Linked DNA regions of Alligator mississippiensis. The protein of the gene in region 1 purifies or fractionates together with the protein of each later gene. This does not show direct contact. Links are inferred from orthologs where the notes say so. Each region holds a gene or a part of one and is shown on either strand. Other genes may lie near its edges. The genes, in order: VGLL4, IRF2BPL and TEAD4.

The links.
Region 2: the proteins of VGLL4 (region 1) and IRF2BPL purify together in Homo sapiens (affinity purification with mass spectrometry; 3 studies listed by BioGRID and IntAct, counting the BioPlex papers as one, with this or other methods). This does not show direct contact. The link is inferred for Alligator mississippiensis from reciprocal best matches to the Homo sapiens genes VGLL4 and IRF2BPL.
Region 3: the proteins of VGLL4 (region 1) and TEAD4 purify together in Homo sapiens (co-immunoprecipitation; 5 studies listed by BioGRID and IntAct, counting the BioPlex papers as one, with this or other methods). This does not show direct contact. The link is inferred for Alligator mississippiensis from reciprocal best matches to the Homo sapiens genes VGLL4 and TEAD4.

Annotation. Positions count from the first base shown.
Region 1 is NC_081835.1:32,363,478-32,371,669, forward strand, and holds the start of VGLL4 (transcription cofactor vestigial-like protein 4), read left to right. Parts: upstream 1-4,683; 5' UTR 4,684-5,130; coding exon 5,131-5,212; intron 5,213-5,687; exon of another isoform or gene 5,688-5,849; intron 5,850-8,192. UniProt on the Homo sapiens protein: May act as a specific coactivator for the mammalian TEFs.
Region 2 is NC_081825.1:262,647,102-262,654,678, forward strand, and holds the start of IRF2BPL (probable E3 ubiquitin-protein ligase IRF2BPL), read right to left. Parts: upstream 3,227-7,577; 5' UTR 2,844-3,226; coding exon 588-2,843; 3' UTR 1-587. UniProt on the Homo sapiens protein: Probable E3 ubiquitin protein ligase involved in the proteasome-mediated ubiquitin-dependent degradation of target proteins. Through the degradation of CTNNB1, functions downstream of FOXF2 to negatively regulate the Wnt signaling pathway.
Region 3 is NC_081827.1:143,817,468-143,825,928, reverse strand, and holds the start of TEAD4 (transcriptional enhancer factor TEF-3), read left to right. Parts: upstream 1-5,351; coding exon 5,352-5,622; intron 5,623-8,461. UniProt on the Homo sapiens protein: Transcription factor which plays a key role in the Hippo signaling pathway, a pathway involved in organ size control and tumor suppression by restricting proliferation and promoting apoptosis.

The DNA.
Region 1 (8,192 bases):
TAGTAAAGTGAAAGTTAATTGTAGCCTGTGAGATCGAAAACCCAAAAGCAGAGTCATTTTGCATCAGAGTGAATTGAACGTAGGTGCTGTAGTACTTGAATGATTTCTCAAGCCCATCCCACTTCAAATTTACAAATATAATTTTATTCATAAAAGTTTCTTCCATCTGGAAAGCTGCTTATTGCTCGGTCTGGGGGTAGGTGAGCACAGCTTTAACTGCTAAAAATTTGATGAGCCTCATGACATTTAATTAACAATCTAGGTTTTTAATGGATCATTATAATTGAGTGTGTGCACATGCACGCTCTCACACTCACGCGCGCATGAGCGCTCGCGCACACACACACAAACACACACACACTCTCTTTATTAAAAGGATTGTAGATCTCAGAGAGTGTGGTTATGAGCAGTTTTAAATTATTAGGTACCTAACTTAAGTACCCAGCTACTTTCTTGTGCAGCAAAGTAGGAGCTTTTACACTTCATCTTCTCAATAAAACAGTTTTTTGTTTTATTTTTGCATTAATCTCTGAAACAGTGCTCGTGTCCCTTTAATTGAAAGGAAATACAGGCAGGCATTTTTCAGCAGAGTTTTTCTTATTTCAATTAAAATACTTAGAGGAAGTAATTTTTTTCATCTTTAAATTTTATTCTAAACTAGTAACCTAGGTTTAGTAGAAATAACAGTAATAGAAGTGCCTTGGCATTTTAAAAATGTTTTTGATGAAATGTCATTTTAGGGAGCACTGCTATAAGAGCAGTGTCTCCCCTTTTGACATTCAGGAGAGGTATTAAGGCTAGGTACAGACATTGTACATAAACCACTTTAAGTGGTCAGAAACTGGATTAAACCTGTAACAGAACAGATGTTCAGTGCACATAAACCAGTTTGAAAATGTCTGAAAAATGGTTTGAGATAAACCTGGTTGAATGTAGTATCAGACTTAACTATTTGGCTCAAAACGGTTTATGCAATGTCTGTCCAAGACCCCTTGCTGGTTTAAGTTACATCAGAGTCCACCAGCATCCTGGCAGGCTCTCTGGGCTGGGCAGGGCTCTCTGCTCCATAGCAGAGCTGGCCCCTCCCCTCTGCTCCCTGGCTGGAGTTCAGCACAGACTTGCAGGCACAGCAGGGTGTGCTGGCTTCCCTGTGCCCCCCTCCTCCCCACTCTCGCCACTCGCTGCTTAAGCAGAGATCCCTTTCTCCTCTCTACCACAGCAGGGACCATAGCCAGCATGTGGTAGGCTAGTTAATGCCAAGGTAGGGTGTGTGTGTGTGTGTGTGTGTGTGCGCGCGCGCGTGCGCAATTTCACTGGGATAGGCAAACAGTGACCACTTAGGACTTTTGAAGCTAATCAACAGGCCAGCCAGTAAACTGTTTAAGAAATGTGAAGTAATGTGGAGAGAGGCTTTTGTTTTGCTAATTGGGTGACAAAGACTGTTATCAGTGCCCCTCTTCCCCCCCCCTCCCCCGCCAGGTCTGCCCACACTCCTCCCTTATTGCTGCAGCGGGGGGGGGGGACCATGGTCCCTGAGGCAGAGAGGGGCAGGGAGCAAAATTCGTTTTCCGTCTACGCCACTGGCAGCCGGGTGGCGCCTTGCCCCAAATTGGCCTCTGGCTTTCCCCTCTGCCGGAGGAATAACCCCATCCCTGTCCCCCCAGGGCCCCTGCCTAGCTGTGCCCCCTTCCTGCCACTGCAATGGGAGGGGTCAGGGCCCTTACTGAGGGCAAAAGTCCCTGTCCCACAGTGGGGGAGAGTGAGCCGCTTCCCGGCAAGGGGCTGCACTGTGGGCTTGGGTTGCGTGCGGCAGCGCCAGGGTGTGGAGTGGGCCAGAACCTTGCAAGCCCCCACAGTGCCGCCACACTCCACAGCCGTGCTGCTGACCCCACAGTGCATCGTCGCTGGGAAGCTGTGATGGGCTTCTGCCTGTCAGGCATGCACTGTTCCAGCTGCTGGGTGGGGGTGGTCCTGGCCCAGCCCCCACCGCTTGTTTTATGCCAGGGAAAACCATTGAGGGGGTTTATTCAGCCCCCATTATTCCCCGCTGAGCTTCAGCTGCAGGCCAGCCAGGCAGATGCTGCTGCCAGCATCTGAATAAGCTTCTTCCTACTGGGAGGGGTCTTGCTGCATGCACAGAGAGAGGCTGCTCAACCACAGCTGGGTCAGCTCAGCGTGGCCACCACCACTCTGTGCTTTCTGTTGAGCCTGGCTGCCGCTGGCCTGGAGGACAGAGCGGTGGCAGCTGGGCCGGGCACACCACGTTGTGGTGGAGTGGCCTCTTTCTGTTCTTGCAGTAAGCCCCCTCCCCGCAGGAAGGGAATTATTCAGCTGCTAGCTGCTTAGTCTGCCCAGCCGGGCTGCAGCTGAAACTCAGGGTGGGGGAGAATAACGGGGGCTGAATAAGCCCCATCAGTGGCTTGCCCTGGCACAGAATGGGCAGCAAGGGCTGGGCTTACCCCCGCCTGGCAGCTGGAGCCTGTCATGGCTTCCCGGCGGGGCTGCGCTGTGGGGCCAGCAGAGCGGCTGTGGAGTGTGGTGGTGCTGCAGGGGCTTGCAGGGCTCTGGCCCCAGACCCCAATACTGCTGTGTGCAGCCCGAAGTCACAGCGCAGCCCCTCGCTGGGAAGGGGATCACTTTCCCACACAATGGGACAAGGGCTGCTGCCCCCAGTAAGGGCCCTGGTTCCCTTCTGCTGCAGCGGCAGGGAGGGGGCATTGCCAGGCAGGGCCCCGGGGGGCGGTGGGTGGGCAGGGATGGGGTTATTCCTCCAGTGGAAGGTACACCTGGGGGCCTATTCCGGACAGGGAGCCACGTGGCTGCCAGTGGGGTAGAGAGGAAACAAACTTTGCTCCCTGCCTCACTCTGCCTCAGGGGCCATGGTGCCTCCCTGCTGTAGCAGCGAATAGGAGTGTGGGCAGACCTGGCTTGGGTCCTTGCCAGTGGCACAGAGTGGGAATTAAACCCTGCTCTGGCCAGTTCAGTCTGGGTTGGCCACTCCCTCCCCAGCACAGCTTCTCTGCAGCCGAGGGCTGGCTCTAGTGCCCCCTGTGCCTGGCCTGAGCAACTGCGGGCATGTTTGTCCAGTTACAAACCGGTTCAGCCTAGACAGATTAGACTAACCTGTAAAGGTTGAATCAGCTCAGGCTCTGGCTTTTTGAATGTCTGTCCCTAGCCTGAAAGGCTCCATATCATCAAAAGATGCATGCACTGTACACACTGCCCCTTGCCTCAGAGTGCTAGCCTGGGTCTGGGGGCTGGCAACACTCTTGCCCCTTGAGCAGCCAATGGAGAAAAGCCTGGGACCATGCAGGCAGACATCCCTAATGATAGAGTCCTGCCAGGGCCTGCCCATGTCCCCTCAGCTCATCTCCCTGCAGAAGGGAAGGGAGACCTGCTTTAGTGTGCTGCCCCCCCCCCCCCCCCCCCCCCCCCCCCCCCCCCCCCAGCATCTAGCCTGAGACACTGCAGGCACGTGCCTGAATTTCCTCAGTCCAGAGAGAATGTCTGTGCAGTTTCAAAACAGTTCAGCCTAGTCAGGTTAAACTAACCTGCAAAGTTTGAATCAATTCAGGCTCAGGTTTTTTGAATGTCTGTCCCTAGCCTAAAAGACAGGAATGGAATGTAGGCATCCAATTTCTATTGACAGATGGGTGCCTAGCTCTTTTTGTACCTTTTGAAAATCTCCCCTGAGGTAACCAAGGCAGAAAAGTGATTTGTACAAGGCCACAGACCAGATATTAGAACCCCAGAACTCCATTATGTCTTTGTTCAGACCACACTTTCCTACTGTTGCTTTAGGTGTTAATCTACCACAGGGGATATATAAAGATACCTATTAGGATGACATACCACATAGAAATATCGATACAGATGTTGTTCTTTCTGCGATGATTGGTATACATCTGTATAAACAATTAGAAATCTTTAAGATCAAGGTTTTGAACTGCTGGAAAACAAACCACATCCTGAGATGAGAACAACTATTGTTTTAAAAAAACAAAAATAACAACAACAAAAGTGTCCTTCACCCTGTCATTTAAAATGGTGTTAGAGCAGGCATTTAAAAAAAAAAACTGTAAAATGTTTAACTACAGATCTTTCTTAAGGATTTAAAAAACAACATTAAACTCCAACATAAACTTCACGTGTGTTTATAGATACATATTCCACTATTCAAACAGGTGATTTTTTAAAAATTATAATTCTCATTTTTTCCATATCCTGGCTACTAAGAATCCAGTTTGTTAATATTTCAAATAGTATTACTTTTCAGTGAATTGGCAACATTATTGTGCTATGTTGAAACCTTATCAAATAGTTGCAAATATTTTAATAGTCAAGTAAAAATAAATGTGAGGGGGTGGGAAAAATTATTTAAAGTAAAAAGTTTAAACTCAGTGCTGTCACTTGGAAATCCTTTCTGAACAAGTTAATCCTGTTTCCTTGCAGATTAGCTTGCTCAGTTTCCTCAACTTAGTACTCGGAGGTCTCTGTGTTTTTCTGGACTTTTCCTGTCTCCCTCCCTCTCTGTTTGCAGTGGCAGCACTGCTTCCTGTCAAGAGCAGCTCTGACATGGTTCTTTCTTTACAGACTCTCCACCTCCTCCTTCCTTTTCTTTCACTCAATACATTTAGAGACTGATCTTGTGCAGAAAATATCCTTGACATTTGAAGAGCTCAAGGGATTCAGTGAGCATGCTCAGTTCTCTGTGCCGGATAGAAAGAGGAAGCTAGTTTACATACGAGTCATACCAAGCATAGCCTGCATGTCAGTGCAGTTAACTTGCAGCGGGCTGTGAGCAGAACTAGCGTGGCTTTGTTTTAGGAAATTTCCTTCCTTTCTTTTTCTTTTCTTTTAATTAGACAAAGATTTACAAAAAGGTTTTTAAGAGTCTCCTTTGTAGAAGGACATACAGTACACTTTAAATTTAGCCTAAAAAACCTGGAAGGGTCCTCTTTTTATCCTTCTAAACTGCCTTTTAATATACCTTTTTGATTAATTAAAGGCTGGGCCTTGAGCTTGTGAAGTTTAGAAAGAGCCAAGAGCTACTTAACAGCATCTGTCTGGCTGCTTCTCCCTTTTTCTGGGCGAAAGCAAGCAAGCTGGTCTTTTTTGCTAGCCTGATAAATGCTATTTATGAAGATGGACCTGTTGAACTACCAGTACTTGGACAAGATGAACAACAATATTGGCATTCTGTGCTATGAAGGTAATTGTTTCATTTCACAAACTGCCTTTTGTGGACTGTATTTTACTTTAAGTTGGATTTTTCTCCCCTTTGGTTTATGTTTGTTAACACATGCTTTAGTACTGGCTAAGTGTCAAGTAAAATTTGAATTCTTATTTTCAAAGGAATATTTTCTATTCTTTTGAGCATGACATATAGTTTGGGTTTTTAAAAGCAAAGATGGCACTGATTGAAATACTTTAAATCAAGAACCTTGCTTGTGCACCCAGATACCATTCTGATAGTGTTAATATAGTTGTAAAGGAAATAATTATCATTTTTATAACATGGGTAAAAGCATTAATGTATTATACCTTTATGTGTATAATATAGTCTAGCAAGCGTATACTAAATAAATGCAATAAGCTTTTATTTGTGCTTTATCTTTATTCTACATGCTACATCTACATCTATGCTTTATCTACATTCATAACATATTTTGATACAGGATACTTACAAGTTTTTGTCGTAATTCAGTAATTGGTTTTAAACAGTGAAGAATTTTGCTCCTTTGGTTTTGAGGGTTGTAGGTATCCATATTACTGGGCACGGAGTGGCCTTTTGTTTGACTTCTCATTTTCTATATAGCTCTGAGAGTCCTGACAGTGAAAGATGTTTCTCCCCCATACTCCCACAGACACATACACGCACCTCCTCCCCCAAGAACTATCCCACACTGCAGCCCTTGTGGACGCAATTACACAACAGTCTGGAAAACTTCACTTTTTTGTCTTTGTGTTCTGAGTTTGCTTATTTTGTCCAGCTAACATAGTTTAGTGTCAACTGCTGATACTGTGGGTAATAGTAGCCTTGTTTCAAAGTTACTTTAGGTAATGGGGGAGGGGGTGCAGCTGCGTAGTTTTAGTTGAGCTTTATCTACGTGCAGTTTACAGAACTGGTAATGGCTTGGCTTTGAATGGAAAGAAAGGCACTACTGAGCTAATTCAGCTTGGCAGTAGGACTGTTTTTGCTGTAGCCACATTCAAACATAGCAGAAATCTTTATTCTGATTCAGCAAGAATTTTTTCCAAGTTCATCTGGAAAGTAAACTTGCTGTAAATGACTGTAAAGCAATAAAAATATATATAGATGTGATCAGGAGATATCTGCTCATACCACCTAAGAAAAAACTAGGCCTTAAATCTGGGAGCAGAACCTCACTCTCATAAAATGTCTGCCCTTCATCCTGCTTCAGTCAGAATGGCCATATTTCCTAGCTTGAGAGAATAAAAATGCTCATATGTAGAACTATGAAAGCCTCTACTTTACTTTTCATTTACATAACAATCTTGTAAAAGAATGTACTTGGATAAATCTGCTGTACAAAGAGTGGGTTTAACCAGTTAGTATTGAAAAATACAATGTAGATTGTGTGTGGCCATCTATACTTTCATACTCTTTCCCATTTTGTAGCTTCTTTTTTGAAACTTCTTTGTTGCAAGAAGAAACCAGATAAAAGAATTTTGAGTTTTTTTGGTAAGTTGGTCATCGCCCTGAATTAAAAATGGTGCTTTATTATGACATGACTGCTAGTTTGTAATGAAAATGAATTCTAAATAGAATTTCTGCTTATCGAGGGTACTTCTGGTTTTTTGCGTTTCTCTGACTAAGGGAAAGGGTTTGTTTGTTTTTTCCTTAGGCTTTCATTAATTTCATTCCATTACGTTTATTAGTCAGTACTTTGAAGCTGCTTACCAAACTCTGCTTTCTTATCATTCCTTTTTAAACCTGTTTTTTTGGACAGATCTTACTTTTGGTAGTTGGAAAGCAAAAGACCATCTTAAGGAACACACTCTAATATGTTTTGTTTAGTTTAGATGTCTCTTGCTGTTTTCCTTATTATGGAAGTTAACATTATTTTTTAACACTAAAATAAACATATGGGAAATGAAAAAAGAAAAGCAAAACCTGATTGCTGTTTTATAGTGAGGTGTTTATATCCTAGGGGTTTAAAAAGTATAAACACTGGCCCATATCTCCACTAAACCCTGAAAGGTTATTTTAGAGATGCTTACAGATCTTCCTTGCCACTGCCATGGAATTTTACAGTGGGATTGTCAGCAATGATGGATTCTTTTTAAAGCCACAGCTTGCAGTTGTGGGTGTGGGAGTGTGTGTGTTGAGAACAAAGTGGGGTTTTTTTCAGATTAATTTCTTAGGCTTTGAGGCTCGTACTTGAACTACTTATACATGTGCAAGCACACGCATACATACACACGCATGTGCGCACACACACACTTCCTGGAAAAGTTCTTTTGCAGATGTCAGATAAATATGCATTACATGATGATTATATAATCATGATGAGCTATATATATATAGCTCATCATGATTATAATATATCATGATGATATATATGATATAATCACGTGTCAGGATTTCTAGAAGAGAGGAACAGAATTAGATGCCCATATCCCACTGGAAATTAGTGGAATGTTTGTTTGTTTATTTCATGGGTGTCTTATTCCCTTAGTCTCTCCTGAAAATCTCAGTCCAAGTGTATAGTGTATTACTGCTTTCCTTGGGTTGCTAACTTTTATAGTAGAGTGCATCAAATCTACTTTTAAATAATTACAGTGGCATCATAATTTCATCCGTTTCATTTTCCCTTTTAACATCTCTGCTAAAAGAACAGTGTTGTTTGCCTTCACTTACTGAAACGACTCATGTACCTATGAAATGTACTATTATCACAGAATCATAGAAAATTAGAGTTGGAAGGAACCTTAAGAGGTCATCTAGTCAACCCTGCTGCTCAAAGCAAGACCTTCCCCAACTAGATCATTCTAGATAATGCTTCTTGAGTCAGGCCTTGAAAACCTCCAAGGATAGAGATTCTATCACCTCTCTAGGTGTAATCAGTTCCAGTGCTTTACCACCCTCCTAGTGAGGTTTTCTTAACATCCACCTAAACTTCTCTTGCTGCAGCTTGAGACCACTGCTTCTTGGTCTCTTATCTGCC
Region 2 (7,577 bases), on another chromosome or scaffold:
CAATAGAAACAAACTGAAACATTTTCCTTACAAACTTGCAACGAAAAAACACCCCCCCCCGACCACCCCCACCTTTTTTTTTTTTTTTTTTTGCCAACGAAAAAACGAAAACAGAAAGAAAGAAAGTGAAGGACTAACACTCAGGGCTTGTAAAACGTAAGCTGTCACCATTTTTGTAGCAATTTTTTTTTTTTTTTTTTTTTTTTAGGCGTCAACACTGGCCTTGGCAAAAAAAAAAAGTTGTATTTTTTTCTTTTTTCTTCTTCTTCTTCTGTCAGAGAAGTGCATACATTTACAAAAATACACACCAGCAGCAGGTAATCGCTAAGGGCTATTAACTGTGTACCTAGCCAACACACTGCCAAAGAAATGAGACCAGGGCTTATGGAGTAACCAAACAATATTATATTCTGTTTAACAAAAACCAGCTCTATCCTTCAAATGAAGAAGAGTACATACCTTTGTTTCAAAATATAGAAACGTACGACGAAAATAATGTCTATACATCAGACTAACTTTGTTGCAGTCCGTTATATTCACAATTCTACAGGTTCAGGAGCCTGGAGGGAGGGGCTGGGCGGCCTAGTTCAAGGGTCTCTCTCCTTTTTCACTTTCACGTCCCCGGCTAAAATGGTGGCGATCTCGCCCTGCATAAACGCCCAAGGCACGTTGGAACCGACAAGGGGGCATTTCTCTCCGCTGGGGCAGTAGACCTCGCCCGTGGCCCCCTGGGCCTTGATGCTCTCTCGGGAGCAGGGGAAGCAGAACTTGTGGCTGGGCACGGACGGGCACTGCACGAAGTGCGTGTCCTCCAAGCGTTCGTGGCAGATGGTGCAGCAGAGGGGGCCGCTGTTGGCCATGGGCGAGTCGGGAATGTTTTGGGGGTGCACGGGGTCCATGCCAGGGTGGGCGCTAGGGGGAGGGGGGGCCACCTGCAGGTTCATGTCGCCGTTGCGCGAGGCCAGGCGGCGCTGGCCGGGCACCGAGGCGGGGGACACGGGGCTGCTGCTGTTCCGGCGGCCGGCCGTGGTGGAGTGCACGGAGCTGCCGTCCTTGGGCGAGTGCGCCGTGCCCAGCGTGTCGGCCACGGACATGAGCGCCGCCATGGGCGACTGCCCGTTCTGCGGGGCCGCCTCGGGCGGCGTGGTCCGGTTGGGGTGCGGGCCCAGCGGCGGCGGCGGCGGCGGCGGGCCTCCGCCGTGCACGGCGCCGAAGCCGCCCGCCGCCATGGTGAGCTTGAGCGCTTCGCTCTGGCTGGCCATCCACTGCTGCCGCTGCTGCTCCTCGCTCAGCTTCAGCCCCGCCTCGGCCGAGTCCGGCGGCTCGGGGGACGCCTTCCTCTTGCGCAGCCCACCCCCGCCGCCGCCGCCGCCGCCGCCGCCCGGGCCCCGCGCCGAGCCGGCCGCCGCGCCCTGCCCCGCCGCGGGGCCGCCGGCCGGCCGGGGCAGGCTGACGAGCGCCGTGGGCAGCATGGGGCAGCTGGCGTCCAGGTAGGGCTGCGGCAGCATGTCGGCGCCCACCAGCTCCTTGAAGAAGCGCACGGACTCGGGCAGCAGGTCGCCCAGCAGGCGCCAGTCGCCGGAGCCGTGCTTCTTCTCGTACTCCAGGTACTTGAAGCCCGAGGACAGGCCGCGCCCGAAGTCCTTCATGCAGTCCTGGTACATCTGCTTGGCCACGCCCGAGGCGCTGGAGAAGACGGTGCCCGAGCCGCTGGGGTACTCGATGAAGAGCTTCAGCTCGTAGTCCAGGCCCGGCTTGGACACGGCGTCGAAGGCGAAGACGCGGCCGAGCAGCGTGTGGTCCTTCTTGAAGCGCACCTCGTAGGGCGTGCAGCCCGCCAGCGTCAGCAGCGTGTCGCGCACCAGCTTGGGCTTGCTGGCCCACTCCTCGGCGCGGTTGCGCAGGCTTTCGCCCAGCTCGGCCAGCGCCTCGGCGTTGCGCTGCTTCTCCTTCAGCTCGCGCTCCTGCTCGCTGCTGGACACCGAGCCGGGCCGCTTGTCGCCCGCCGCGCCGGGGCCCGGCCCGCCGCCGCCGCCGCCGCCCGGCCCCGCGCCGCCCGGCCCCGCGCCGCACGCGCCCGCCGGCGCCGAGCCCGAGGCCGCGGGGGGGCCGCCGCCGCCGCGCCCGCTCAGGCTGCCGTGCGGCGGGGGAGGCAGCGCCACGCCGGCGGCCGCCGGGCCGTTCAGCAGCGTCTGCGGCAGCAGGTTGGGCGGCACGCTCAGCCCGGCGCCGCCCGCGCCCGGCGGCAGCCCGGCCACCAGTCCGCCGTGCGCGCCGCGCCGCGACGACGCCGCCGCCGAGGCCGACGAGGAGTTGGGGCTCTGGCGGTTCAGCTCGGGCGGCCCGTCCTCAGGCGCCTTGGGGAAGCCGTTCGGGCCGCCCAGCCCGTTGGGCAGGCGGGCGGCCAGGCTGCCCGGCGGCGGCGGGTACTCGAAGCGGCCGCGCGGCTCCGCCGCCGCGCTCAGCCCGTAGCGCTCGAGGCCGGCCGGCGCCAGCCCCGCCGAGGCGGCCTTGGCTGACGCGTCCACGTGGTTCAGCTGCTGCTGCTGCTGCTGCTGGGCCGCTGCCGCCGCCGCCGCCGCCTCCTTGGCGGACAGCGGCACCGCCTTGACCCCGACGGGCGGCGGCGGGCCCGGCGAGCGCCCGTCCTGGAAGCAGCCGTGCGCCCGCTTGAGCTGCCGCGCCGTCTCGATGACGAACTCGATGCGGTCGGCGCCCTCGTAGTTGACGCAGCCGCGGCACACGGGCTCCGTGAAGTCCCAGATCATGGCCCAGGGCATGCGGGGCAGGTCGCACAGGTAGCACGACTGTCTCCGCGACGACGACACCTGCGCGGCCGACATGGTGCCGCGGGCGGCGGCGCTCCCCGTGCCGGCTCCCGCGGGCCCTGGCGGCGGGGGCTCGGCTCGCCGCTGCTGCCGGACAGCGCTGCCCTCTTGCTACCTGGCGCCGGCAGCGTCGCCTGCTCCCGCTCCCGCTCCGCGCCGCTCCGCCGGGGGGCTGGCTGGGCTGGGCTGGGGTCGCCTTCTCGCCGCTGTTTCCCGGCGCGCTCTCGCTCTGGCTCTCGGCGGCGGCTCCTCCTCCGCGCGGGGGGCGAGGGGGGGCGGCCTTCTACCCGGCGCCTTTTACCCGGGGACCCGCGGGAGGAGCCGCCCGGGCCGGGCCCGCTCTCCGCGCTGCTGGCGAGCGGCGCCGCCTGCTCCGCACTCACATCTCGCCGCTGCTCGGGGCTCGCGCTCGGAATCCGGAGTGTGTCGCGTCCGGCGTGGCCCCGCCCCCCCCGCCCGGCGCGGCGCGGATGCCACCGGGGTGGAGCCCTCGCGTCACGCCCGCTCCGCCCCGCCCCCCGCCGCAGTTCCCCTTTCCAGCCTCCCTCCCCTCCCCCCACTTCCTCTGCCTACGGACGCGGAGGCCACTTGTTGCGCGGAAATTGCGCATGCTCGGCCCGCTGCCCGCTTCCTCCCTCCCGGCTGCGCGACAGCTGAGGCAGCGGGAGAGACGCACCGAGGGCTATGTTTGGAAACTCAGACACGAACTCGCTCCCGCTCCCAGCCCCCCGGCAGCTCCTCCCGAGCCAGGAGGCGGCCGGGAAGCACATGCGGAGCAGCCCGGCCGCAGGAGGACACGCACTTCGTGCAGTGCCGGCCGCAGGGGGCTGCCCGCTCCTGGCTGTCAGATGAGCCGGGCCCGGCTGCCAGAGCCGCAGGGGGCGGGGCGGGGCGGGGCGGGGCTGGGCGCGGCCGGGCTGGTGACCCCCAGGGGAGGGCCGCCGGATCCCCCCACGCAGGGGCAGCGCCGAGCTTTCGTTTTCCTTCTCGGGCTGCGCTGGTCAGCAGCCGCTCCAGGTCATGCAAATGCGCTGTGAACGCGTCGCACTCGCAGGGGAAAACGCGCTTTATTTTCGAGGCTGCAGCTGTGACGCTGGAGCGTGGCCGTGGCCGTGGCCGTGGCCGGGCGGAGGTTGCGGCTGCAGCGTCCGCAAGCCCCGGCCCCAGGCCCCCCACCCCCGCGGCCCGAGCCTGGCGCGCTCCTGTGCCCAGGGCCCTGCGTCACTGGTCGCACCATGTAGCTCGCTCCCAGGGTGACTCCCCCTCGCCAGGGAAACATTGCTGCACTCCCCGAGCTGTAACGCTGCAGCTGGTCACGCCGGATAACCCCTCTCTTGTTTTTGCTCCTCATTCAGCTCGCCTTCATTGAACGCAGAAGAGAACAAAAAAAATGGCCTTTTGATTTCTCTCCCTCTCCTGCAAAGGCCGCTCTAATTTCTGTGGCATGGCGCCATGTCCCCTCTCCACAAAAACGTACAGTATTAACAACGCAGTGCTTCGTGCCTCGTGAAAGAGGGACCAGCGGGGTATCAGCTCTGTTCAAGTTTCTTCAAATAACGTGATTCCCTTCAAATCCCCGCTGCTTCTCAGGGCCACGTCCAGGGCTCTTAAAGCCGGCAAACTTGATGTGAAATGATATGTCCGGCTTTTTTTAAGAGAAAAAGCGACCTGAAACGCAGGCCGTAAAGCTACAGAAGGGACGGGCTCCGATCCAGCCAGCTCTGACCAGGTGCCATCATTTTTCCAAAGGGGCAGCTCATGGGGCAACGAGGTAGAAAGGAAAACCGAAAGTCCTTGGATGAGCTAAGTCTCTCGCGTGCACAATTTCTGTAGGAGATGAACTCCCGGGGGATGGTTTGCACATGGAGGAGTGTCATACCCAGGCTGCGGACAATATCAAGGCTTCATTGAAGCGGAGTCCAGCGAGGCAGGTGGAGGCGGGGGGCGAGCGGCCTCTCCTCGCAGCGCCCCGGGGGGCTTGGGGAAGGCTGCGGGGCTTCCCCTCCATGTCACTGGACTTGTCTGAACACGATGTGCTCGCTGTCACACAGACCTGAAGGGCAACCCCCTCTCCCCTTCCCCCTGCTCTGTGATCTGCACGTAAGCAACAGAATTGGGCGATGAGAAAAAAAAGTCTTCCCTTTGCCTAAATCATGCCAGCCGAGGAAGCAGAGGTCCCCCCGGCCCTGGCTCTCTGGGAAGGGGATGCGAGAGGAGTGGAGCTGGATTTCACTCCACAAATGCCAAGGCGCTCCCTCGCCCTGGCTCCTCTGACTCCTAACTGCGGGAAAGCCCCAGGCTCCCCGCAGGAGCGGCCAGGCCCCGGGCTCACGAGACCAGCGCAGGGAAACAATAACCAGAGAGCAGATCTAGCCTCAGCAAAGCGCTCACGGGTGCTGGCAACTCCCTTTCTAGTCTGGGAACAGAAAAAGATGGGCGATTAGCACGTGTGAGCCGGCTCCGCGGCCTTTCCTCTTCCGGGAAGGATGCGCTGGTGGGAGCGGGGATTTCTTTTCCCGTGATGATTAAACCCGGCTTTGAAGCGGGGCCCCGGGGGTCCCTGCCTGGGAGGCGGCGGCACCGAGCGGCCGGGCAGGACCCATCTGGGCTGCTGGAGGGGAGCAGAGTGAACGATGCCAACCTAACAGTCAACGCTAAAATCTCCCTCAAGGGCGGCAGGGCGCCTCTCCCACCGCGCTGTCCTTTCGCCGGCCAGGAGCAGGGCGGCAGGAAGCCGGGTGAGTCTCCTTGGGCCGCCACTCAGCCAGAGAGATGTTTCTTTAGCTCTGCAATAATCCTGGAATTAAAGCGCGTGTGGAGGAGAAGCAGGAGGAAAGGCAAGAGCCCAGGCAAGGAAGTCTCCCAGGTGTGTGCCCCGGTGCCAGCACACACGCAGCCCGGCAGCGCCAGCGGCGGGGGCTGGTGGCCGGGCGCGGCCCGAGCCGAGGGGCCGCGATCGGGAGGCCCTGGCCCCGGTCCCTGATGAGTGACCTGCCAGCAGCCCCGGGGCCAGGGCGTCCCTCTGGCTAACACGAGCATCTGCCAGTTCCGGGCAGGAAGGTTCCGGCCCCACGGGTCCTCTCGCTCGATCCCCGTCCCCAGGTTCATGACTGACGAGAGGTGAAGCTCTGATCTGAGCAAGGGAAGCAAACAGATCAGAGGACACACGACCCGGCCGACCCTGCACACGCAGCAAGCATGGAGGACAATGTCCTACCAAGGCAGGAAGCACTCGCCTGGGCTCAGCCCCCTGCCACAGCTTGCAAATGCACTGGGGGGACGGCTGAGGTCCCTGGGAGAGCAGCACTGATTGCTACCGAGCCCTTGCCTGCGGCAGCCCCAAGGTTTTCGGCACGAGCCATGAGGACGCCGTGAACCAAGCGGAATTGCCATGAGACGTGTAGCCCGGATCCGTTCCCAGATCGGGCCGGGCCAAGGGCTCGCTCCGCACGTAGCAGCCCGGCCGCTACAAGGACACTCTTCCTTCCTGAGGAGCTCACCTCAGAAAGGGGGAGGGGGTGTTAATCAGATCTGTCCTCTCTCGTGGCCCTGCCCCGGGATCAAAGCAGCAGCTCCAGCTGCAACGCAGGGGCGGGGAGGGGGCACAGGAAGGAAGAGAAATCGTGACAGAGCCCGGCCAGTGCAGAGATCTCCCCTGGCGCAGCGCGGCAACCGGCAACCGCAGTCGCTCCCAAGCAAGTGCCTGGCTTGAAACCAGTGAAGAGGTGAACCCTGGAAAGCGCTGAGGCGTGCAGGGGAGTGTGCTCCTGAAACGGCATCGCAAATACTGGGGGAGGGACTTCCACAATTTTGTCAAATTAAAAGTGAAACAGCAGCGTCTTCTGCTGCAAACTGCCAGGAAGTGTCAAAACACGTAGTTACAAAGAGCAAGAGTGTAATTACGTGTTTCTGTTTATCGTTTCAGTTACCAGTTCTCTGCAGATTACAGGCCCTATTCGAAAATACTCCAGCTCCGGGGGCTTGTTGCTGTCTGCAGGCCTTCTTTCCAGCCTCCTGCCTAGGAATGCACCTTCCTTTCTTTCTCTGTTCTAAACCTGCCACTGGTTTCTCTACATGCTGGAGCTTACCACTTTGTAAGTGAGGCTTATGTCCCGCGCTCTATTTCTAGGAGGTTTCACTGCTAATTTTCTTTTTTTCTTTTCTTTTCTTTTCACAGTGCTGTTTCTCCTTTGCCACCACAGAGCACGGCTTGCTAGGGGGGTCTGTCTTCCTGGGGCCCTTTCGCTACTAACTACGTGATCCCACTGTACAAAATAGGTAACTTGGTTTCCCCCCCAAACCATGCAAAAGTTCCACTTCTTCCCCAGAAAGCAGCCCTGCTTCCCTTTTCATACAACTGTATTTATGGCTTTTTTAAATAATCTGTGGGCCCAGATTTCCAGGTGCCCACATTTGCCAAATCTTACAGTGCAAAATTAGACACCCATCATTATTTCTGTTTGCTCTGAAAGAGCCTAGATACCCCTGGACTGCACCCCTTGTGAGCCTGGGTTTGCCACTGTTGTTATTTTTATTTTACTCATTGACTGTATTCAGCTTACATCCTGGGGACGTAGTAAACAATCAACAATAATGAATCAACTGAATCGGTACTTCTTTTTTTTTTTTTTTTCTTTTTTTTTAAGGCTATTCCCACTGAGAGCCACTTGCACTTTCATGACAGTTAAGAATCTGCCAAACATTAGCTTAGTTACCAGCAAGACAGCCTCCCCCTCCCTTCAACCCATA
Region 3 (8,461 bases), on another chromosome or scaffold:
TTGGAGTCTGCTGGAGCATGGTAATTACTATGCTGAAGCAAACTCGATTAATTGCATTGTAATTGCAGCACTTCAGAGCAGCCTCTCTGTATGTATATTAGGTGCCCATTGTGTCTACATTAACTCTTTTAAGACAACTGAAATTCCACTAAAAGAATTGGGGGTAAAATTTGCACTGGTGAAATTACACTGGTTTAGGTTTTGTTTGTTCATATCCATCCTGGGTAGTTGTCTTCTGCAGGCATGCAGACTAGTTTTTGCTTCTCAGCTATAAGGCAAATCTAACATGCAAATTTTTCCTGGATGGCTAAATGTCTGTGTGTTCCTGATCCCAGGGTAATTTGCATTGGTATATAGTTGTAGGCTTAACGTTAGCTGGGTCAGACTATTTCCCTCCCAGTCACTGGGTGATAAAACTATATCTTATCTTGTATGTGTTGCACCCCTTTTTACCCTAGCATAGACCAGGCACTAGAAATTGGGGTGGTTCATAGCCATCAAAAGAGACTGCCTTTTTTCCACTTTCCATTCTTTAGTTTCCCTGAGTAGCCTCAGCTCAGACTTTACTCTCTCTTTGACTCTCAAGAGCAAAATCCCTTAAATAGCTGAATAACCTTCTGCTGAGCACCTGCCAATGAAGTTGACTTGGTGGTGATAGACATCTGGCAGAGGGAAGTAGAGTGGGGCACGGACAGTGAGCAACTGTTGGCCACCGGTTTCAGGGTCTCTTAAAGCTGCAGTCCTCATTTTGGTTCAGTTGTCACTGCACTTTGTGTCATGTTGATAAAGACTGAGGTTGCTACCCCCACTATCTTTATTTTCCTTCTCCAGAGACAGAAGTACACAGCATAGGACCTAGCCCCGGGGGGGGGGGAGGGGGGAATGTTAGGTTGAGAAACAGGAATCCCAGTGACTACAGTTCTGAGTTGAGTCCCTTGATTCCCCATCAGGTTTCTGAGCTACTTACAGATTAGATACTTCCTGTTTAGTATTACCATTTATCTTTTTATTTCCACAGTGTTTACAGGGGCTTTTGTGCATTTTTAAAGTGTAAAATGAGCACCAGTATCTCTGCTGTGGCTTTAGATTAAAACAAAGTCTTGTGGGAAATAGATTCAGTGAGGGGGTTTTCTTTCCTTGAAATCTCAGCTCCAGGAATAACATAAATTAATGAGAATCTCTGCTTTCATGTAAGGAGAAAAAACTTGTAATGTTCGGAGTTGCAGAGAAGAGCTTGAATGCGTGAACCCGAATGACTCGGAAACCAGAAAGGAAAATAACAGGGGCCCCAAATTTATACTTCTTTAAGCAATTTCAGGATTTTCAGGACTGGAGTCCTGATTTTGCCCTTGGACAATGGGAAGCCCCTTGTTATCTTCCCAGCACAGGCCTTGAAATAGAAAAGGTTCTCTGGGTCTGTGGAGGGTGGTGAATGTAGGTAAGGTGCCCTCACCAACTCTGGAGACAGGAGGAGGGTGATCTGCCCCTTTAAAATTGCTTGACCCAGTAGTTTCTTTGATTCTGCTTTTCTCCTTCATTTCTTTCCCCTTTCCCACTATTTTCCCCCTCCCCTTTTTTTTTACTTTTTTTCCTTGGCTTATTACTTGTTTCTCCTGAGTCTTCCTGTATTTCTTCTTCTCCATCACCTCTCTTTCTCCCTTCATTATTATTTGTGTTGTGATAGTGCATATGAGCCTTAATGAAAAGCAAGGCCCTTGTGTTAGGCAAAGCTCAATCACTAAAGAAAGATGATTTCTGGCCTGAAGAGCTTGCAGCTCACATGTGAGGCAAGATTCTGCTCATGCTTTGCTGCACTATCTCCATAGTGCTATCTAGTCTTCCTAATCTCTCTCCCCTTGCCTGCTCCTACTTGTACCCTCCTCTCCTCGCTTCTGGTTTATCTTTTTAATCCCTTGCTTCCTCTTTGCAGTCTCTATCCTGCTTTTCTGTTTTTCCCTCTTTCCCCTTTCCTTTCTCTTCCACCCTCTCTCTACGTATGATATTTATTCACTGCCAGTCTACACTTAGAAATTGTTCCAGAGTAAGTTTAGGCTGTCAGTTTAAGTCATAAAATGTGTTCCAGGTATCTTTCCTATGTAGCAGAGAATCCTTGAGCTTTACACTCTTCTCTGTGTCTTTCATGCTTAAAGTGGGGCCTCGTGGTGCCCCCTCCTAACCCCACTTGCCTTAGCCCTCTTCTGTCCTTTCCTCTCTTCATGAAACAGAGGCTGGGTGCTTCTGAGCTATCTATTGTGCTGTGTGATTTTTTTTTTTTTTTTTTTTTTTCCTACTGCTCAACTTGCTGTACTTGTAACGTGGGATTTTTTATTTTTTTTTTTATTTTTTTTTTAGCACTTTCTTTTTGTATTACAGGACAGACAGCCTAGCTCAGGGTGTGGACCAAGGGCTACATAGGAAGTTTTGATGAGCTTTTGCAGGTCAGGTCAGCAACCTCTCTACCCCTGCAACAACTTACCAAAACTTCATATGGGGCTTTAGGCAGGTGGGGGGCAATGTTTGGGAGCAGGATGGGCAGGTGAGGCTGATCTGCTCCCTGCACACCCTCCCCAGGTGGGGTGGGCCATGTGTGCATGGGGATGTGTGTGGGTTGTGTGTGTGTGTGGGGGGGGGGGCATGTGTGCATGTGTGTAAAGTGGGGGCTGCCTGGGTGCTAGGTTCAGAGCCAATCAGAGCTGAGGACAGGGAGGGGGAAGGGGAGGAGAAGGGGGAAGGGTGCGGTACATGCATCAGAGCTTGACTGGGTGGTGAGGTCTGTAGCTGCCCCTGCAATGCTCCACATGCGGCCAAGCCCCACACAGGGCAACCAGAGCCAGCCCAGCCTTGGTCCCAGCCCTGGCCAGTGAACAGCTTCTGGTGGGGCTGTTCCTAGTGGGGCTGCAGCTGGCGGGGTGCTGCTCGGTTCCCCTTGTCTCCAGTGGGAGTTGTCCAGCTGAAGCTTCCCCCCATCTGCCCACCCAGAGTCTCACAGCAGGGGCAGGAGTGGGAGGAGGAGCAGCTGCTGGAGACAGGTGGAGCAAAGTAACCCCTGGCTGGCTGCAGCCACATTGGGAACTGCTCCACTAGAAGCTGCATGCACTGGCTAGGACATGGGCCAACAGAGCTATTCTACCCCTATTGCTCCACAATAGAGGCTTCTCCTTCTGGTCCTGTCCCTGCTGCACCACTCCTGGCGGGTGGGGGAAGCTTCAGCCAGGCAGCTTCTGCCTTAGCTCATGGGGCTCTGGCTCTAGCACCCAGCTGCCTTCCACCCACTCAGCTGCATAGGTTTCTGTACTTGCACATGGCTGCTTATGGTGCCAGGTGGGTGGAGTGAGTAGAAGGCAGCCCGGAGGTGGAGCTGGAGCTAGAGACCCACACACTGAAGCAGGAGTCATCCAGCTGAAGCTTTCCTCCCCAGCCACCTGGAATAGTTCAGCAGTGAATGGACCAGCAGGAGGAGCCTCCATTGGAGGCAATGGGAGCAGATCAGCTCTGCTGGCCCAGGCCTCTGCCAGTGCATGCAGCTTCCAGCAGGGCTGTTTCCAATGTGGCTGCAGCCAGCCAGGGGCTACCTTGGTCCCCTCGCCTCCAGCAACAGCTTCTCTTCCCATTCCTGCACCTGTTGCACCACTATGGGTTGAGGGGAAGCTTCAGCTAGGTAGCTCTTGCTGGAGGCGAGGGGAACATGGAAACAGCCCCGCTGAAAGCTGCACACGCTGGTTGGGGCTCAGGCCAGCAGGCACAGGCTGGAGTATGGTGTGTGCTGCCCTGGTGGGAGTGGGTGGGTCTAGGCCCCATGCAGAGCACCACGGGGGCAGCCACGGGCTGGATCCCATCAGTTGGCAGTCTAGATCTGGCCTGTGGGCTGTATTTTGCCTGCCCCTGGCCTAGCTAGTTTAAAGGCCCCTAATCTGTGGCTTGTGAATCGCCAGTCCTCTAGTGGCTCACAATGCAAAACAGCAGCCAGTAAATTCACTCTGAAGGAGATACATACTTGTTCAGTGAGCCCCCAAGTAGAGCTTCACAGACTACACGTGCTCCCTGCCTCCCCAGTTTGACCACCTCTGTTTGGCTGGTTTGGTCTTCTCTATTGCAAAGGTTTATAAGATGACTGTTATTATTTGCATGATTTTAATGTCCAGAAGTATGTTGCTGCATAAATACATAATGAGAAGCATCTCTCTGCCCCAAAGCCCTTACGATCTATATAGACAAAATGCATGATACATATTTGGCCCACCAAGGGATTCTTATCTGGCCCATGGCAGGTCCTTCGGCTCCACCTGGCCCAGGTACAGGGAGTAGCCTGAGCTGGTAACACATGAAGCTGGTCCTGCTGTCCCAGGTGCGCAGCGGGGCTGGAATGGCACAGCGTCCGGACTCAGTTCTTGGCAGCCCCTGCAGTGGCAGCTCCTTCCAGCTGCTGCTGCCAGTCTCTGCTGCTACCTCCAGGCACCTCTGCCTGTCCACCCCGCACCCACCGCTGGCAGCATCAGATGGAGTAGCTGGGCAGAGTCTCCATGGAGACTGGCCCAGGATGCCGTGGGTTGGGTGTACTTAGCCAGGTGGATGAGATGGGACCACAGACAGGTGGGGAGCAGCATCAGGGAGCGGAACGGGTGGACAGGGCAGAGCCACTTAAGAAGTTTTGGTGAGCTGTTGCAGGGCAAGGGGGGTGCTGACCTGGCCCACAACAGCTCACCAAACCCCCCTAAGTGGTCCTCCAGCCCAAATAAGTACCCCGCCCCCTGCACTAGTCCATCAGGCTTTTAAGGAACTTGTTTGGAAAATGGCTTCCGCTTCTTGGGAAGCAGACAAGTCAGTGTTTAAAAACGACACCACTCACTCGCTCCAACCCAGTGAAACTGTACCCAAGAAAATTCCAACCTCAGTCCTGAGCGATGACTAGATAATTCATCACGGCTTTATGTTGTGTAGTGTCTTTCACACTGACTGAGTCCTGCCTGCTTTGGATCGTTAAATAATGCATTTACAAAGATAATGAATGCAGAGGGAAAGAGAAATTAAGAACAAGGGCAAGGAAGAGAGTGGGTGTGTTTTCTGATAAGAACTGGAAGTAGATGGCAAGCTAATGAACAAAGGCAATACCAGGAAGGCTATTCTGAGCAGAGCCTGCTGCCGAGGAGAAGGTTCTCTTCTGGTTGGTGGAGATCTTGTGTGCATTTCTGCATATTTTATTGTGTCAACTAAAGACAGTCTTCACAGTCTGATCCTGGAAGAGCCAAAGGCCTGTGACCAGCCCAGGGTCTCAAAACAGGGGCAACACTGAGCTGTTTTTCTTATACTCTGTTAGCGTTCATGGTGAAAAGATTCACTGAGTGAGACGGAGTATGTTTGCCCTTTTAGGTTCGGTGGCTGCTTCTCCAAGTGGCGCCTTGGAGTTTCTAACTGGCACCATTACCTCCAACGAGTGGAGTTCTCCCACCTCCCCTGAGGGGAGCAACGACTCAGGGGGCAGTGAGGCCTTGGACAAGCCGATCGACAATGATGCTGAGGGTGTGTGGAGTCCGGACATTGAGCAGAGCTTCCAGGAAGCGCTAGCCATTTACCCGCCATGTGGGCGGCGGAAGATCATCCTGTCGGATGAGGGCAAGATGTACGGTAAGGAGAACAGCTGGGGGAGTTTTATCACCCTGGGGAGAAGGAAGATCTCTGTCAACCATCAGGTCTGCCATGTGTGCTGCTGTGAGAGAGATCCCAAATGATGCAGCAGCTCAGGTTAAATATGTTTGGCAAAGAAAAGCAAAGAGGAATAAGAAAAGTGGATCAAAGTGGCATTTAAAAGAAACTTTTTCAGAAAAGACTCCTCAAGTTTTTAACTAAAGTACGGCATGTTTATCATGTTTTTCATGTTTATCATGTTTTTGATAAAGGTTTTGGTGAAGTCTAATACAGTGGCTCAATGAATGCACTCATGCTATCTTTGAAATGTAGCTCATGCTGTCATTGTTAGGTTCTCCCTAACTTTAAGTGGTGGAAGTCTGTGGTTTTGGTGCTGAAGATCCTAGGTTCAAACCTTCAATGATGGTCTCCGATCGTGGTAGCTATGTTAGTGCCCATGTCACATAGTCCTTGAAAGGGGAACTTTTTTTAGCATAAATTGAGTATGAATTCCCCTCTCTCCACTTCCCCATGATGGTCTTTTGCCTCCTGTCTGCCTGAGTATATGCATTTTTTCATCTTTAATTTGCTTTCTGCCAGGACATAAAGAAGATTAGACCTAAACTGTTCTCAGTGATGGCAGATGACAGAACAAGGAGCAATGGTCTCAAGTTACAGCAAGGAAAGTTTAGGTTGGATATTAGGAAAAACTTTCTCTCTAGGAGGGTGTTGAAGCACTGGAACAGGTTACCTAGAGTGGTAGTAGAATCTCTATCCTTGGAGGTTTTTAAGGCCCAGCTTGACGAAGTCCTGGCAGGAATGATCTAATTGGGGCTGGTCCTGCTTTGCACTGGGGGTTGGACTAGATGATCTCTTGAGGTCCCTTCCAACTCTAATTTTCTATGATGCTATGATTCTGAGATGAATCATAGCATGAAATCTCCTCAGGTCAAGAATAAAGAGAGGCCTTGTCCTTCAAGTGCAAAAGGGGTGATAGGAAAAGATGATTTAAGGTCATTTTAAAATTGTTCTTTACCCCTCTTTGCCAAAAACAGCTAGTGAAAACATTTGCTGTCCAGGGCCATGGAAACCCTGGACCATGGAAACCCAAAAAGGCAGTGTACACCTGGTGGAAGGGGGGGGGGGGGGGGGCTTATCTCCAAAGAAGAGTATACCTCCATTGCTTGGGCCTGTAGGGGGGCTGTTAGGAAAGCTAAGGCAGATATAGAGCTAGGACTAGCGTCCAAGATCAAAGATAATAAGAAGTCCTTTTTCAAATATATAGGGAGGATGAAGAAGGCACCAGGAAATGTGGGGCCCCTGCAAGATGTGCTGGGCAATCTGATAGTTGCACCAGAGGAGAAGGCAGACATCTTTAACAAATTCTTCACCTCCATTTTCTTGTGCAGGGACCGGGACTCCCCCACGGTGTTTCAAGACAGACTCGAGGGGAACGCCTCAAGACCTAAGGTTGAGGTGGACCGGGTTAGAGTGCTTCTGGAGGGGCTGGACGTGTTCAAGTCAGCAGGTCCAAATGCTCTCCACCCCAGGGTGTTGAGGGAACTAGCAGGGGTTATTGCTGGGCCCTTGGCACGGCTTTACGAGCACGCGTGGTGCTCAGGCCAGGTGCCAGATGATTGGAAAATAGCCAATGTGGTCCCCATCTTTAAGAAAGGGAGGACCCAGGCAACTATAGGCCCGTCAGTCTTACCTCAATCCTGGGGAAACTTTTTGAGAAGATCATCAAGGAGCACATCTGTGACGGGCCGGCATCGGGGATGATGCTCAAGGTCAACCAGCACGGTTTCATTAAGGGCAGATCATGTCAGACCAACCTGATTGTCTTTTACGATCAGGTCACAAAAGCATTGGATGCAGGTGTCGCCGTGGATGTAGTCTTTCTGGACTTCGGCAAGGCCTTTGACACTGTCTCCCACCCCATGCTCATTAAAAAACTAGGCGACTGTGGCATCGATGCCTGCACGGTCAGATGGATTGCTAATTGGCTGAAGGGTCATATTCAGAGGGTGGTGGTGGATGGGTCATATTCGACCTGGGAGAAAGTGGGCAGTGGAGTCCCCCAGGGCTCGGTCCTTGGGCCCACACTGTTCAATTTCTTTATCAGCGATTTGGACAACAGGGTGAAAAGTAACCTGTTCAAATTTGCTGATGATACCAAAATTTGGGGTGAGGTGGGCACGCTAGTATGGAGGGAAAGACTGCAGAAAGACCTGGATAGGTCGCAAGGGTGGGCTAACAAAAGCAGGATGCATTTCAATACAGAAAAGTGCAGAGTGCTGCACTTGGGCAGTAGTAACCGGCAACACACTTATAAGATGGGAAACTCCCTTCTTGAGAGCACGGAGGCAGAAAGGGATCTTGGAGTCATCACTGACTCCAAGATGAACATTGAGAGGGTCCAGAGGAGGGCCACCTGCATGATCCGGGGACAGCAGGGCAGACCCTACAATGAGAGGCTATGGGACCTGAACCTGTTCAGCCTTCACAAGAGAAGGCTGAGGGGGGACCTTGTGACTGTCTATAAACTCACTAGGGGGGACCAGAAGGGTTTGGGGGAGACCTTGTTTCCCCTAGCGCCCCCTGGGATAACAAGGAATAACGGCCACAAGTTGTTGGAGAGTAGGTTCAGATTAGACATCTGTAGGAACTACTTCACAGTTAGGGCGGCTAGGATCTGGAACCAACTTCCAAGGGAAGTGGTGCTGGCACCTACCCTGGGGGTCTTTAAGAAGCGGCTCGATGCCTACCTGGCTGGGGTCATTTGAGCCCAGTTGCCCTCCTGCCCAGGCAGGGGGTTGGACTTGAAGATCTACAAGGT